Linked DNA regions of Solanum lycopersicum. The protein of the gene in region 1 binds, or shares a complex with, the protein of each later gene. Links are inferred from orthologs where the notes say so. Each region holds a gene or a part of one and is shown in the gene's direction. Other genes may lie near its edges.

Evidence for each region.
Region 2: protein STABILIZED1 (region 1) and zinc finger protein ZOP1 share a complex: the UniProt entries of both Arabidopsis thaliana proteins name them as parts of the pre-mRNA splicing complex. The link is inferred for Solanum lycopersicum from reciprocal best matches to the Arabidopsis thaliana genes EMB2770 and AT1G49590.

Annotation. Positions count from the first base shown.
Region 1 is NC_090806.1:65,043,720-65,048,287, forward strand, and holds the start of protein STABILIZED1, read left to right. Parts: upstream 1-1,703; 5' UTR 1,704-1,936; coding exon 1,937-4,568. UniProt on the Arabidopsis thaliana protein: Pre-mRNA splicing factor required for splicing and for the turnover of unstable transcripts. May be a U5 snRNP-associated protein involved in the formation of U4/U6-U5 tri-snRNP. Involved in responses to abiotic stresses.
Region 2 is NC_090800.1:91,825,186-91,829,615, forward strand, and holds the start of zinc finger protein ZOP1, read left to right. Parts: upstream 1-1,323; 5' UTR 1,324-1,610; coding exon 1,611-1,619; intron 1,620-2,628; coding exon 2,629-2,829; intron 2,830-3,506; coding exon 3,507-3,630; intron 3,631-4,430. Other genes in the region: protein ANTAGONIST OF LIKE HETEROCHROMATIN PROTEIN 1, read right to left, coding at 1-869. UniProt on the Arabidopsis thaliana protein: Nucleic acid-binding protein that promotes Pol IV-dependent small interfering RNA (siRNA) accumulation, DNA methylation and transcriptional silencing.

The DNA of each region.
Region 1 (4,568 bases):
ATGTGACTTCATGTTTGTGTGGTTGTGAAGTGTGCGATGTTATGAAAGTGGTCATCTCCTCATTATTTGTGTGAACTTGTCATCTGCATTATTCTGACGCATTGGTTGTCACAAGTGTTATGTGCATTGAAAAAGAATGAGTACTTAAGAGGATGTACCATTTCGAGGGACGTATCGCGCACCGCGATGGATACTATATTTCGAGGGACGTATCGCGCGCCGTGATGGTTACTATATCGAGGGTCGTGTCGTGCGCCGCGACAGATGCATGGACAGATATGTCCCCCATGGGTCCCCGACTGAGAGACATCGGGTGTGTATCACTAGGTCAGACATGCATCATTATACTTGACATTGCATTCCATTTCATTGCATATACTTATCATTAGTGAATTTGATATCGTGTTTTGCTGATCTTCTGATTGCCTTTCTGCGGAACTTGTGATTGATCAATATTGAGCTTGTTATTGCGGATATGTAATTTGTTAAAGTGTTGTTGTTGAGGATATTTAACTTGTCTAACTGTTGTTATTGAGCTACGTGCTATGTAAATTGTGAGCTGTTACGTTGGGTTGATTTTAATGCAGGTTGTAGTTGTGGAGGTTCGGTTGGGGGTGGTAGGAGTACCCGTATTTCATCCCCTTAGCCTGTGTTTAGAGGTTTACTTGCTGAGTACCGTGTGGTTTGGTGTTCACCCCTTGTTTCTACAATTTTTTTTTTTAGGTTACTAGCCCGGACTTTGTGATATTTCTCTTCTCCTTGTCTGAGGTTTCTTGGAGATTTGAGAGGTAGCTGTTTGTCGCCTCAGCGTACTTTCTTTCTCCTTAGTTATGATCTTGTTTTATTCTAGAAACAAGTTCATTTGAGATTAGCGTTGCTTTTGAATCAATTGTAATACTTTAGAGGCTTGTACACGTGACAACCAGGTTTTGGGGTATAATGTAAGTTGATAGTAAATTTTTCACATTTTTATTGTAATAGTTGAATTTTAGGCTTACTTGTCTTGGTGGGATAAGACGAGTGCCATCACGTCCATTTTTGGGTCGTGACAGTTGATTTCGAGTTTATATAATTAGCCAAATTTGTATATTAACAATTATTTGTTTGATTTGTATTTGTATATGGCGATGATTTTCTTTGATTTTCCAGTTTTATCACCATATGCATTCAGTTTTTTTCTTTTTTATCACTTTTTAAAAATTTTAAAACATGTAGTTTTTCGGACTTTATATAATATAATTATAAAATGTAACTTGTGTAATATAATTTGTGTAAAATTCATATGTATATATATATGTATCAATTCGTTATTGTGAGTTTTTATCAGATTTGTATTGTTTCAGACTTTGTATTACTCAATTGTATAAAAACACATGAATTATGCAAACAAGTTACGAATTTTAAAAATTATTGTCCTCTCTCGCTTGCCTCTCTTCTTCCTTGCCAAATTTCGCTCGCAAAATATACAAATACATATGTATACCAGTTACATATATACATTATCTAATCGATATACATATATAATTCACCCCTCTCCCACTCTCTGTGCTCTCTCGCTCGCCTCTCTCTTTTCTCTTCCAATCTCGCTCGCCTCTCTCCTTTCTCTTTCAATCTCGCTCGCCTCTCTCCTTTCTCTTCCAATCTCTCTCGTCACTCTCATTCATATAACATATAGATTTAAGATATATTTAAATGACTATATGCAAAAAATTTCTTTCTTAATTATATAAATTGAACTCAAATAAAATATATTTAATTTTTTTTTACCATAATTAAATTAAGACTCAAATATCTAAACAAAAAAAATAAAATTGTGTAACGCCTAAATATTTTAGTACACTACAGAAATGAATTCGTACCGATTTGCCTGATCCAGAAAAAGGTGAAATTGTTGTGTTTATTCAGCTGTCAACGATTTGCTCAACAACGAACAGTCATGGTGTTCATCAATCTTCCGAATCACAAAACCCTAACCCTAGAAATTAATCCTTTTGTAACTTCTCTTCAAACCCTAACCCTAGCAATCCATCAAAAGTTCCATATTCCAATCACTCAACAACGACTCTACTCATCCTGCCGGCGTCTCCTCGATGTGGAAGCACTGTTATCCGATCTAGGGATTTCCCCTAATTCCACTCTAACTCTACACGTTCCTCTTTTCGGAGGTATGCAAGCACCCGGGGCACCGAAAGCCCGGCTTGAATTTCTTAACACGAGACCTCCTCCGAATTATGTTGCTGGGTTGGGTCGTGGTGCTACCGGTTTCACGACCCGTTCTGATATTGGTCCGGCTCGTGCTGCTCCTGACCTCCCTGATCGGTCAGCTGTTGGGGGTGCACCGGCGACTGGAGTTGGACGTGGACGTGGAAAGGGTGCTGGAGAGGAAGACGAAGAGGAGGATGCGGAGGAGAAAGGGTATGATGAGAATCAGAAATTTGATGAATTTGAAGGAAATGATGTGGGGTTGTTTGCGTCTGCTGAGTATGATGAAGATGATAAAGAAGCTGATGCGATTTGGGAATCTATTGATCAGAGGATGGATTCTAGGAGGAAAGATAGGAGAGAAGCTAGGTTAAAGCAAGAAATTGAAAAGTATAGAGCTTCGAATCCGAAGATTACTGAACAGTTTGCTGATTTGAAGAGGAAATTGTATACATTGTCAAGTGATGAGTGGGATAGTATACCTGAAATAGGGGATTATTCGTTACGAAACAAGAAGAAGAGGTTTGAGAGTTTTGTGCCTGTACCTGATACTCTTTTGGAGAAGGCTAGGCAGGAAAAAGAGCACGTAACTGCATTGGATCCGAGGAGCAGGATGGTTGGTGGCATGGAGACGCCCTCTTCACAGACGCCAGTTGCAGATTTGACTGCTGTGGGTGAAGGGAGAGGAACTGTGTTGTCAGTGAGGTTGGATAGGATTTTGGATTCTGTTACTGGGCAAACCGTCGTGGATCCTAAGGGATACTTGACTGATTTGAAGAGTATGAAAATTACTAGTGATGCTGAGATTTCCGATATAAAGAAGGCTAGATTGTTGCTTAAGTCGGTTACTCAGACCAATCCAAAGCATCCTCCTGGTTGGATAGCAGCTGCTAGACTGGAGGAGGTTGCTGGGAAGATGCAGGTAGCAAGACAGTTGATAAAGAAAGGGTGTGAAGAGTGTCCTAAGAATGAGGATGTTTGGTTGGAGGCATGCCGTTTGGCGAGCCCCCTTGAGGCTAAGGCAGTGATTGCTCAAGGTGTTAAAGCAAATCCCAATTCAGTCAAGTTGTGGATGCAGGCTTCAAAGTTGGAGGATGATACAGCAAACAAGAGCCGTGTGTTGAGGAAAGGTCTAGAGCATATCCCTGATTCAGTGAGGTTGTGGAAAGCTGTTGTGGAGCTGGCCAATGAAGAAGATGCTAGACTTTTGCTACAGAGGGCTGTGGAATGCTGTCCATTGCATGTGGAGCTGTGGCTTGCTCTTGCCAAGTTGGAGACTTATGAAAATGCTAAGAAAGTACTTAACAAGGCTAGAGAAAAGCTGCCTAAAGAGCCTGCCATCTGGATCACTGCAGCTAGGCTTGAAGAGGCTGATGGGAATACTGCTTCAGTTGGGAAAATTATTGAAAGGGCAATAAGGGCTTTGCAGAGAGAAGGTTTGGAGATTGACAGGGAGGCTTGGATGAAGGAGGCTGAAGGATGTGAGAGAGCTGGTTCTCTTGGGACTTGCCAAGCTATAATAAACAACACTGTTGGGGTTGGTGTTGAGGAAGAAGATAGGAAGAGGACCTGGGTTGCTGATGCTGAGGAGTGCAAGAAAAGGGGTTCTATTGAAACAGCGAAATACATTTATGCACATGCTCTTACTGTATTTAGAACTAAGAAAAGCATCTGGCTTAAAGCTGCACAGCTCGAGAAAAGTCATGGCACGAGGGAATCACTTGATGCAGTGCTTCGAAAAGCAGTTACCTACATTCCAAAGGCTGAGGTTCTATGGTTGATGGGTGCCAAAGAGAAGTGGCTTGCTGGTGATGTTCCTGCTGCTCGAGCAATTCTGGAGGAAGCATTTGCTGCAATTCCTGATTCCGAGGAGATATGGCTTGCTGCTTTCAAGCTCGAGTTTGAGAACTGTGAGACAGAGAGGGCAAGGAAGCTTCTTGCTAAGGCACGTGAAAGGGGAGGCTTGGAGCGGGTTTGGATGAAGTCAGTCATTGTGGAGAGAGAACTTGGAAATGTGGATGAGGAGAGGAGATTACTGGATGAAGCATTGAGGCGCTTCCCCTCATTTTTCAAACTTTGGTTGATGCTGGGACAGTTGGAAGAAAGACTTGGTAATTCTAACAAGGCGAAGGATGCATTTGAATCTGGCATTAAGAATTGCCCCAATTGTATACCCCTTTGGCTATCCCTTGCCTCTCTAGAGGAGAAAATGAATGGGCTAAGCAAAGCTCGAGCAGTTCTTACTATGGCCAGGAAGAGGAATCCTCAAAACCCTGAGTTATGGCTTGCAGCTGTGCGGGCTGAAGCTAGGCATGGCTACAAAAGGGAAGCTGATGTTATGATGGCTAAAGCATTGCAGGAGTGCC
Region 2 (4,430 bases), on another chromosome or scaffold:
TGCGTTGCATCATCAAATCCACCTGGGGCTTTCACACAAACATCCCAAAAGATCTTCTTGTGATCAGCAACAACCTGAAGCAATACGGATGGGAACCCATATCGGCTATAGTACATAGACGAGTTTACGGTTTCCGACGGAAGATGCTGCAACCTCACGGCCGTTCCATCAATAGCTCCACATATATTGGGGAGTGAAGTCAGTTCTTGAAACCCCTGAGTGGTCTCCACAAGACGCCGTCGACTCACCGGAATCTTGATAAACTCCGGGTAAAGCTTAGTAGCCAAGAGGCGGGTGACCATGTTAGTAATTTTCGAGATCAGGTAAGGTTCAAGACCATAACGGGTAGCTAGGTTTTTAGCAGAATAGCCGTGGAAGAGTCTAGAAAGTACCATAGCAACGGCGTAATCAGAAGGTAGAGAGAGTTGAGACTGGGTAATGTAGGGTTTCAGCTTATCAACAACTGTGGTGAAAACGGGATACGATAGTCCGTAAAGGGAACGCCACTGAGCGTCACGGAGAGGAGCTTCCATAGCCCAAATATGTTCAGTGGAGAGGGCACGAAAAGCAGAGACGGAGAATTCGGCGGCTGCCGGCGATGGTGAAGAGGGGTTGTTGTTAGGTGAAGAAGTTGAAGTTTTAGGTTTTTTCTTGTGTGGGTGAGTAGCGAGATAGGAGAGAACGGATGCGATGGTGAAGAAGAGGAGAGGTGCGGCGGAGGTGGAGGTGAGGAGGGAAGTAGGGGAGGTGGGTGAAGCGACGGAGGAAGAGTAGGATGATGTGGAATCGGAGAGAAGAGAGGTGGTGGGGTCAAGGTGGTTGTGGAGGTGAAGAAGATTTGTTAGCATCAGCAGAAAAGATTGATCCATTGTTAACAGAGAAGGAGATTGAAGGTCCACTTTGCCGGAGAAGACCGACAGGGTTTTGCAGCCACCGGCGGCAATGTCAATCAAGCCAATTCATATTTGACGACGAGTGGGTGGGAGTGGGGGCGGGGGTGGAAGAACTTACAGCAGAAGAGCAAATAAGTCCACGTAGTTTCGCAAATGTTGCAAACAAGCCCATACTTGTTCGTTTTGATAAACCGAATTTTTCTTTTTTACTTATTATATTTTTGATTAATTAATTAACAAAGATTAATTAATCATTTTCGTATAAATTTACTATGACATATCAATTTAAAAATAAATATAATTAAGAATTATATTTTTTTATTTAAAGTTTATTCGATGAGCATAAAATATTTCCAGAAAAATAAAAATAATGACGAAGATTATAATAGCTGCGGGTTATTTTGGGTTCCAAAAAGAATTTATTTAGATTGTGAAGGTCGATTAAATTTTATATCTAAAGATTCTATGTTTTATATAACACTGAATCTCCTTTTTCTTCAGCACTAACTAAACAAACAAATATCTCAAAGCGGATCGGGTGGGCCCGAATCCGAGTTCTTTTTTATTTATTTTTTGTTCCTCAATTTGGTTCTACTTCTTTGATTCAAAATTAGGGTTTAGAAGAAAAGGCCGTTGATTTTGAATAGGAAACAGATTTGAGCTTGAGAATCGCCGTCTTCTCCTTTCATTCAATCCATTCGTGTATCTGTTGCAGCCATGACTGAGGTATCGCTCTGCTAATCTTCCATTTTTTTGGCTAGCAACTTCAAAAAATGACTTTTCCCCCCCTTTATTTCTACTTGGGAATTCCTGCTAATTCTAACTAGACTAGATGTTAGGAATGGGTTATTTGTGGTTACTTTTATGTACTCCTGATTGATGATCAACTGTTTCAATTTTTGATCACTTGTGAGATGGGCTCAATTTGGTAAAATGATTCAAATTTGTGAGTTGGTAATCTTTAGTTGAGCGACAGATCAAATAATGTGAAACCCTCTTTCAAAGAACATAGACCACTGTTGAATTGATGTAGAGTTTATGATTTCAATTTGAAGTTCTATCACATGATGATTATCTTTCTCTGGGGTTGCTTATCGTGCTTCCTTCTTCATGCTTATTTCATTGTACATTTGCTAAGTGTAATGTGTTTATGTATCTGTCTTCATGTCTCATATCATCTATATTGTCTAGATTTCCATTTCACGGGTTCTTTGAGTTGTGCTGGATAAGTATGATTGGTGATAGAGTAGGATTTCGGATTAATTTGCAGGGTCATGATCTTTCAACTTTCTTATATTGTAGAAATCAAATGCAATATTCATATTTTTTTGTGGATGTGTGGTGGTGGAGGGATTTTTAAAAATTAGCTGTTAGTGTAGTTTCTGGTATTCAGATTTAGCTATGAACATTTGGAAGTTAAATACCTACAACAATTTCATTCCATCCATTACAAAGTCTTTTGATTCTTCAATCATCTTTTAGTTGGATTTGCTTTTGTTTTTGATTTAGTGCTGCTCTACCTTTTTATTACTGTAATAGAATTTCCAGCCTTCTGTCATTGTATTTTGCATATTTCTTGTTTCCTCAACCTGTTACTTTTCTGTATACAGATTCTTCGTCCTTTCCCTCCGATTTCTGATTACAGAACCCAAGATAATTATACTGATGTTTACTTTCTTGTGATGAACTTACAATTTTATAAATATGCCTGTTTCATGTTTTTCTCATTGTACAGTTTTGGGTTAGCCAAGGAAATAAATGGTGTGATTTCTGCAAAATCTTCATATCGAACAATCCTACGAGCATTAGGAACCATGAACTTGGTACGCGCCACAAGGAAAGTGTGGGCAATAGGCTTAACACAATGCGACAAGAGAAAGCTACAAAAGATAAAGAGTTAAAAGAAGCAGCCCGTGCTCTGGAGCAAATTGAAGCGGTAAGTTCTATTGTATTGGTATTTATGTTCATATATAAGTTCACACATTTATGACGAGTTACTTCAATTCTCTGATGACAACCGATAGTATCTGTGGCTTAATATTATGATGTTAGTATTTACCATCCTAAAGAAATTAAAACGGTTATGAAGGGTTTGTAATATATGTGTGTAAATCTGTTGATGTTTCTGTTTGTAATTACATTTAAGTTCTAAAATACTTACCTTACTAAAAGATTATCTGTTTTGAAAAATTATTAAGTCAAATTTCTCCCAAGTACCATTACTGCAATTCCTCCTCCATCAGGTGTGATATGCTGAGCAGCTTTGGAGATTAGTGTAATTTCATTTACTAGAGAAAATGTCTTTGCTGGCTATTCTTCTTTAATTGTCTAATTTGCAGGTTATATAGCTGCTCAAAATATGCTGTTGTACCAACTTATTTTATCCTAACTTCCTAAGATATCTCAGAGTGCAACACTTAACATGATCTTATTACATAGGTTCTCTTAAACTTCCACGAATAGAATTATTAATTTTTTTTTTTTTTTTTACATAATTTCATCCATCGTCTTTTTGACTTGTTTTATAGTTTAAAGAAGAAATGGATTAAATGATGGTGACTGTGAATGAACAAAAATGTTATTGCTTAATTATGTCTTTTTTTTATTGACCAGAAAGCTCAACGCAGCTATGATAAGGACATGGCTCGAGTAAAAGAAGCCAGAAGTACCAATATACAGGCCCTGGCTACTCATGATAATGGTCAAGCGACTACCAAGGGATCTGCTGTATCAGAAGGTGTTCAATTTCTTTGCTGTCCTGTGACATTATACCTTTTACTATTTGGTTATAATTGTGTGGACTCTGATTAGAAACATTGTCTTTCAATTTGTTTTAAATAGAGTTCTTTTTCCGAACAAAAGGAGTTGGTTATAAACTAGAGATATCTCATGAGTGCTTATAGTTTGTATTCATTTGTCAATTTTGAGATAAAAACTTTTACCAAGTTAAATTGAATATGAGTTAAACTATCATTTGACAATATCTCAGTTCTCCCACTTAATTATCTGGATTGCAGATATTTTAGGTTATACAAGTCTTTTAACTTTCATATGCAAAGAAAACGATTTCTTCCATTTCGTTTATCGTTTTATCTTCTTGTTATTACTGCTTTCTTTTCATCTCTTCTTGGCCCAAGCTCCATCGGAAACCTCCCTACCCTCACAAGGTAGGGTAAGGTCTGAGTACACTCTACTCTCCCTAGGCCCCACCTGTGGGATTATACTAGGGATGTTGTTGTTTGTTGTTGTTGTGTACAAAGAAATAATTTCTGGCATTGGTTATTTAATTCTTGTCGTTTGGTTTTTGGTTTTGCATCTACTGCTTGTTCTTTGCAATTCCTTCGTGACTAACTTGGTTAAAGAAATATCGCAATTTGTGGTGTCTAGAGGATACCTTGATTAATAGGCAAAGTTAACTAATCCTCTTGTTTTATGGGAACCACTCTATCAGGTCATTAATTCATAATATGAACAAAGCAATGAAGCATCATGCCTTTCTTCCATTTTTGTTAATGCTACTGTTCAGTTTCCCAGATG